Daphnia pulex: one gene and its partner. The protein of the gene in region 1 interacts with the protein of each later gene in a pairwise test. Links are inferred from orthologs where the notes say so. Each region holds a gene or a part of one and is shown in the gene's direction. Other genes may lie near its edges.

Region 1 (3,928 bases):
TAAAAGTACCCTACACGGAAAGGCAGGTAGGCTACATAGTGTATACATAACCTAGTTTTTCGATCCGATATTCCAAATATTAAATTCTATATTGTAAATGCGGTTGATTAAATATTATTAGTTTTTGGTTATACATTTGGCAGTAAGGTCCATTTCCTTTATAAAACAGTACTGATCTGTAAAATCTCTAAATCCATCCAGAAGGGAACAAGAATATATAATAGCAAGGTATAGTAGCCTATCCAGAAAATTCAGATTGTGGAATATGATTAAGTAATAGCGGTAGATAATACCCAGAAAACTGCATTGGTATTAGGTAAGGATATGCATTTTTTCCTGTGTACAAAGGATAATTAGGTTATAGGCGACTGGGACCTTGAAGGAGCTTGGCGTACCGGGTACGACCGGGTACGTGGTTACAGATGAACGGTTTTCCCCTAAAAGTCCCCCCTCCCTTCTCCGTATTTGGGTTAGTTAACTCTATATATTGTTGGCTCTCTACTCTACCTGGAAGAGTAGGGGAATAAATTACTGAAAATAAAGTTACAAGCAACGAAAATTCAATAAATTGCTAATAGCAACTTATCTTCCACTCGTTTCACGTAACCCACAGAGAATTATCAGCTAACAATATGGACTTCTTTAGACCTACGAGTATTTAACTATTTATACCCAACATTGAAGATCGAGGAAATCGCTGAAAAATGCTCACAACAGAAATACATTCAAATTTGTATCCGACTGTTTCGACGTTATATTCGACCCAACTGAATTAAAAAAAAAGAGATCTGCTATTCGTGTACCTTATTTACAACAGTTTGACATTTTTTTAGGGGGGGGGGGAAACAGAACTAGGAAATGCAACGACTTAGCTGGTCCAACAATTCTCCCTCAACTCGAGGTAAATGTGAGACAGACTTCCAGAGTTAGTTACCCAACCATATTTTCCACGAGGTTAAATCTATTCCATAAAAGGTTTTCTGTGTGTCCGACAGACCGACACTACGATAAACAATGTGAACTCGACTCATGTCTCATGTTATTGCTAGACAATTTTTCTTTTTTTAAGCAGTTGTTTGTATTTTACGGTAGATGTCGGGTCACAGCTTTTAAAGTTGACCGCTAGATCCTTCTATGCTCAGTTCAGTTTACTCAGGCTAAACTGTGTTAGTGTTGTGGAAACTGGAAACCGTAGTCCTTTATTCTCTCGAATCAGCTGGTCATACAAATGACAAGGCAAGATTTGTGATACTTTGAGCACTGTGTTTATGTCCATCATGAGTGAACTAACTCAAGAAGAGGTAGAATTATCTGAAATTAATAAAAAAGGTTGTCAAATTGTAGCTTATTACACGAAATTCATTTATACAGATACGCCAGCGAAGGTTGGCCCGCCTTGCAGTGATGTCCACTGGAGTTGCTCCAATGAGCAACCCTAGTTTGTCTTCAGCCTCAACTTCATCACAACCAAGCAATGCTATTTTCATGGAAAATGTGTCAATGCTATACACTCCCTCCACTCCTGTTAAAAATTATCCAATGGATATTGATGGTACAACTCCACGAAAAATTGAAGCTATGGACATGGACGGTGCAACACCACGCAAGATTGAAGCCATGGACACTGATGAACCAGCTACCGGAACTCCATCTAAAGTCCAATCCAATGCTGATACTTTGTGTACTGAGGACTTCCTTAACACAACTGTTGCAAAAATTCTTTGTGTGTCACGAAAACCAGAGAAGAGTTGTATTGTTTTATCTGCCATCTGGCCAAACAATCCTCTTGTGACAAGTGTAAGCTTTGTGAACAATCACTATATTTTGGAGACAGTTGGCGACATGATAATGGAATCCTTAGATATTATAATGTATTCTCTGGATAAGCCAAACCAGTTATTTCAAGAAGGCTCTGAAAGCAACTGTCTTCAGTATTTGATTGACTGTTATACAAGGATGGAAGAACATATGAAGAAATATTCCAAGAAGTGCAGTATTTCATCAGTAAAGGAGCTCCTGGTGAAAATCAAGACTGAATTGTGTGCTGCTCTTGCCCTATTATTAGAAGGTTTTCTAACAGAGCCAATCAAGAAGGATTATTACAACATCCTGTATGAACACCTGAAGAGACACAGTTTACCATCTGAATTTTTCTATGAATTGGTTCATCATCTTGAGTCAGATTATGTCCGGTTTACCAAAATATTCTCACCATTACTTCTAGTTATACGGAAGGAATCTCAACAGAGCTCAGTCTCCGATAGCTCGCATACCGCAGCCCTACAAGTCCTCTCGGATTTGTGCGAGTGTCGAACAGGCGTCAACTCCTCTACTCGTCCGTTTTGTAATCTCATGATTAAGATGGGGAATTGGCTTGTAGAGCCACTTACAGAGGCAACGGGTCGTGAGTTTGCGAAGTTTACTTTCCTTGGGCCGTTCCTGTGTACATCACTTTTCGCAGAAGATGACGTACGAATCGCCGATAAACTGAAAACTACCGGGAATGAATCACGACCAATCGTTTCTAGCCTTCAACAAGAGGTGGAATTGACACGCAATCTTCTTCACAAGGTAAATTTTTGTCTTCATTAGTTAAGACACTGGTGAGTGGTGACGTATTTTGATTTCTTTCTTCTTTTAGGTGTTTTATGCGCTTTTGGCAAACAGTGGATCGCGTGAGGCCACATTACAGTGGATCGCAGTTGCACTCAAACGAAACGAAAAGCGTTCAATGATCAATGTTGAATCGCGACTTGTTGCTGGTGACGGATTTTTTCTCAATCTTGCTGCTGTTATGCATCAGCTCTCACTCAAAATCAAGCTTGACAAAGTGGATGTATTTTATCCGTTCCACCCACAGAGTCGTATTAGCAATAGTGTGGCCAATGAAACCAAAATTAGAGTGAATTCACAAGAAAGCCAGCAGTGGGTCGAGCAACTGAATCAGCCAGATTCTGGACACATTTGGCAGGAGTGTAAATTCCCTACTGAATGTTGGTTTATGACACTGCATGCCCAGCATTTAGCATATTTGCCGGCCGCAAGACGACATCAGCGGAGGATGCGTGCTCTTAAAGACTATCAAAAACTCGTTGACGAAATGCAAAATTCAGAAGCAGAATGGAGTCAAACTCCAGCAGCCCGCCGAAATAGGGAGCTTATTGCTATGTGGCAAGAACAGGTTGGTCAAAAATGTTTGATTTTCGATTGCCAACACTTAATTAATTTTTTAAATTTGTAATTACTAGGTGAAAAAGCTTTTATTAAGCAAACCTTGCGCCGAAGCTGCGTTGATGGACGAAAAACTCATCAGCAATTACATGCATTTTAACAGCATGGCCGCAGAATTGGAAATGCAGACCCTTTGTCCAGAAATTATGTTTCCCACGAATAACTTTACTCTTCCATCTAAAGCTACACCTCTTTTTGCAAACTACCCAGAGTGGTAATATAAAAAATTTCATCCGGGTTTTTCTCAAAATGAAAGCTATTTTTATAGTATGCTAATTCTTTTATCTATTCCTGTAGGTACGTCGAAGATATAGCCGAATTTCTTTTACTTGCCCTGCAGCACATGCCTCAGATTGTTGCTCGTACGGTGGATCAGATGGTGATGACCTGGTTGCTCACGCTGGTCTGTTCAGCTCATTGTTTCAACAATCCTTATCTGGTGGCTAAGTTAGTTGAAGTGCTCTTCATGATGAATCCGTCAGTCCAGGTATACGAAATTTTACTTTTAACTATTTCCTTGTTATTCTTATTTCTTTATCCCTTTAGCCTCGTACGGAAACGTTACATGAGCGATTGCTGACTCATAAAATTTCGCAATCAGCGTTACCCCCTTCTCTGATGAAGTTCTACGCAGATGTTGAGTCCACCGGAGCAGCATCAGAGTTTTATGACAAATTTACAATCCGATTTCACATCA
Region 2 (3,840 bases), on another chromosome or scaffold:
TAACCTCGGTATAGATTTTCTGACTGATTTCTTCCCATTTCCATAATTGGATTGTTTGTCCTTTTAGCATATCGTGACAAGCTTCTCTGTGTTCAGGTACACAGCATGAAGTTGTCACGGTTTCTTTTTCAGCTTGGAGATAGGTCAAATTGTAAAAGGCGTGAATTCCGCAGCAATTTAGCTTGCTTCGGATTTCATCCACACGAATTTTTGAAGTTTTATTGTGGTGATAATTAGAAATGTTTTCCTTCAGAGAATTTTCGGTTATTTTGGAAAAGCGAAGAACCATTATTCCTCCCACAATTACGAATCCAAGATTTAGTAATACGAAAACCAGGTACTGAAGGCGAGCAGTGCGATGCAATCATTCATCGTAGCGAAATATTCCATTTAGTCAAAGGAGAAAGAAAATTACTCTAAAATCTTTTTTTGTTTTTTTTTTTTTATACAAACACGAGCTTACGCAAGATATCAGGCATTTTTTCTCGCCAAAGGCACCACACATCCCGAATAGGCTAAGAAATATGAGTAGACCGCTGACGGCAATTGCAACCACGATGTTCATAACCATATATTTGTCGTTTACCACCAAAAATTTCTGTTTGTCTGATCCTTTTGCAAATTCTTGACGTTGTACAAGTGACGACGCCGACAAGGAGATTAATACAATGCCGCTCAACTGCATTTCAAAGAATATGTCAGTATCATATTTTATGAAAAGCAATAACAAACCCAGTCTTCCAAACGCAACATTTAATTCGATAATTTCAACCATCTTCAGTTAAATTCTTTAGTAAACTCACGTTGGAATAATATAACTGTTAATATTTTAACAAATCTACAATTACATTGTAATAGAATAATATGTTTACCAGGATTAACAAGTTGAGGCACAAAAAACTCCATCGTAAAATCTTGTGGGAACGGAACGTAACCTCGTCCGTCATTTCCCTTTGACTGTTTTTCCAGTTACTATTTCAAATCGGAATGAAAGCCCGTGTGATAAGGAAACTTACTGTACCACTAACAGGAAACCCAAAATCCGAGTAAAAGAAAATACATTTGCAAACAAGCAATACAGCCGGAACCCAAACGGTATAAAAAAGTGACGTCTATCATTAATATCGTAATCCATAAAACCACGTTGACTCCACCAGTTGGTCTCACGCTTCGAAGTTTTAACTCCTGAGATGGTCACACGATTAAATAAGTAAATAACCAGAATAACCACTGCGGATCGCCTACTGTTCTCTAGGTTAAAGCCCAGCAGTGCGCAGTCAAAATTGTACGCGCGTGTATCCAGGTCGGATGTATATCACTCCAAATAACCTTTTCTTTTGCTTATTTCAATAAATTCTCTGCTTTAACAGCTCTAATTAATTTTCTTATCCTAATTTTCAAATTAGATAGGAATCGTTATGGCGTCTACTGCGCGTATTCATCATAGATTAAAATCTATTTTTATTGGATGGTAGATGGCGGTGAAAAGGTCTTTCCACAATCCGCACTTTACTTTACTTTCATCCGCATTTTATAGTTTATTTATTAAAAGCGTTTTTGTTGTTTTCCGCTTTAGTGTCAGAATATCTGACGTTAATTGGAATTGTGCAATTACGTTTTCGTATCTATTTTATGTGATAGTGTTGCTTTTTTAAATTCTTTCTCGATCCTACAGCACCCAATAGTTTCTTTTTTAGAGAAGAAAATGAGTGACAGAGAACACAAAGATCAGGGGAATAAGTTGTTTTTAGCTCGACGTTTCGATGAAGCAATTTCATGCTATTCCAAAGCCATTGTAAATTTCTTTAATTAAATTAAGCATAAATTATTTTGTTTTGCAACGCGTAAATCAAAGTAATTGTAATTGTTTTCTTTAGCTTAAAAATGGTTCTGTTCCACAATACTACACAAATAGAGCTCTCTGCTCTCTCAAGCTTGGCCGTTGGGATGCAGTAGTGCAAGATTGCAAAAGTGCTTTAGAGTTAGACAACACTTGGGTGAAAGGTTTTTAGTATAAATTCTTCAAAATACTCTGAAAATGCTATATATTGCTATTATGTTTAGGGCATTTCTTTCTGGGCCAAGCTTTAATGGAAAAAGAATGCTATGAGGAAGCAATAAAACATCTTCAAAGGGGTACTCATTTCCCCAACTTAACATAAATTTTGAACACATAAAATCTGATTATTGAAATTTGCTTGTTATTAGCCCGTGATCTTTCGATGGATCAGAAACTTAATTTTGGGGATGATATTACCAGTCAGTTAAGACTGGCAAAGAAGCATCATTTTACAAAGCAGGAGGAGAAAAGAATTTCACAAGAAATCGAACTACAGGTAGTCTGTTAATAACATTCTCTTTGTCCACTCCACTTTGCAAAAAATTATGATTCATTTGAAACTTGGATTTTATTTTGATAGATGTATATAAATAGGCTCATTCGAGAGGATCGAGATCGACAAATCGATTTGGTTAGTCAAGACAAAGAATACAGTTCAGTGGAAAACGAAATTTCGAACATAGAGAACGTCACCGTGAGCATATCTAGAGTATTTTTCTTGTTTCGTTAGTAGACTAATAATACTTGATTAAAATCGGTAGGATCGCTACCTGGCTGAATTGAATGACCTTTTCGCAACCGTCGATGACCGAAGAATGGTACTATAAATTATTCAACTGTGTGTTTCAGTACGTCTTATACCATTAAGAAATTGTCTTTGTAATTGTGTCGGTTAGAAACGTGAAGTTCCAGACTATTTATGTGGCAAAATCTCTTTCGAGATCATGAGAGATCCAGTCATCACTCCTTCAGGAATAACCTACGATAGGAAAGACATCGAAGAACATTTGCAGGTAAGTGAATTCAAAATTGCCTAGTAGATATTAGCCAAAAGATTTGTTTTTACGCAGCGAGTTGGACATTTTGACCCTGTGACGCGAGTTAAATTGACCAAAGACCAATTGATTCCAAATTTCTCCATGAAAGAAGTTGTCGACTCGTACCTGACCGAAAACGAATGGGCTCAGCACTACTAACCACTTTTTTAAGGATCATTCATTGATTTTGATTCTCTTAAAAACTCCGCCGCATTGTATTAAATGAAATCGATATATATTATGATTTGAATCGCCGAGCCCCAGTTGTGATGTTTCCTATCGGGTTGGATGATAATCAGGAAGTAAATGTTGCTATACAGTCTTTCGCTATTGATTGCACATTGCTGTTGTACTTCAATAGACGATGCTGGAAATTTTATATATACCTGATTATGAACCTCCTATTAAATTTGATTTTATTGGGATCAGAGTTCGCCTTGAGCAGATTCTACACCTGTAGGATTGCTCCAATCTTTCAATAGGTTATATTCTTTAGACTAAATTATCGTCTCCTCTGACAATTGTTTGTGGGTGATTGATTTTATTACTTTAGCCAAAGGCAATTGATGATTTGCAGCCGAACTCTATTGGTACGTTTCCTTTCATTAAGCACTTAATTGAGCTTGGCGTGGTTCGTTGTGGATGTGGCCAAGGACAATTGTATCAGAGTTGGTTAAGTTGGTCATTAATCAGGGGGGTCGACTTGAACGGACGGTACTATCGATCCTGGTACAGCACGGGACTGGACCGATATTCACTTAAATTATAATAAACGTCCCATGGGTAAATTGTGTTTGCCACGTCGTCAACTACAGTTATTATCTTATCAGCACTCTAGAGAGAAGTCTGTTGTGTATCTTGCAGTGTGCATACAAGGGCGGAAACGTTACTGTTCCTGTTCCTAGGTCTCAAGTTGAAGTTTTTCAATTTAATGCATAGCCTAGCACTTGTTGTTGCATCGAT

Evidence for each region.
Region 2: the proteins of ubiquitin conjugation factor E4 B-like (region 1) and E3 ubiquitin-protein ligase CHIP-like interact in a two-hybrid assay, tested with the Caenorhabditis elegans proteins (2 studies listed by BioGRID). The link is inferred for Daphnia pulex from reciprocal best matches to the Caenorhabditis elegans genes ufd-2 and chn-1.

The regions. Positions count from the first base shown.
Region 1 is NC_060017.1:3,665,537-3,669,464, reverse strand, and holds the start of ubiquitin conjugation factor E4 B-like, read left to right. Parts: upstream 1-1,150; 5' UTR 1,151-1,268; coding exon 1,269-1,301; intron 1,302-1,371; coding exon 1,372-2,571; intron 2,572-2,641; coding exon 2,642-3,181; intron 3,182-3,248; coding exon 3,249-3,445; intron 3,446-3,528; coding exon 3,529-3,718; intron 3,719-3,777; coding exon 3,778-3,928. UniProt on the Caenorhabditis elegans protein: Acts as an E4 ubiquitin ligase mediating the assembly of polyubiquitin chains on substrates ubiquitinated by another E3 ubiquitin ligase. The elongation of preexisting ubiquitin chains preferentially targets ubiquitin 'Lys-29' and 'Lys-48' residues.
Region 2 is NC_060019.1:9,014,826-9,018,665, reverse strand, and holds E3 ubiquitin-protein ligase CHIP-like, read left to right. Parts: upstream 1-1,509; 5' UTR 1,510-1,705; coding exon 1,706-1,795; intron 1,796-1,877; coding exon 1,878-2,004; intron 2,005-2,064; coding exon 2,065-2,136; intron 2,137-2,208; coding exon 2,209-2,336; intron 2,337-2,420; coding exon 2,421-2,534; intron 2,535-2,601; coding exon 2,602-2,658; intron 2,659-2,736; coding exon 2,737-2,853; intron 2,854-2,910; coding exon 2,911-3,036; 3' UTR 3,037-3,256; downstream 3,257-3,840. Other genes in the region: CD82 antigen-like, read right to left, coding at 5-340, 464-679, 873-947.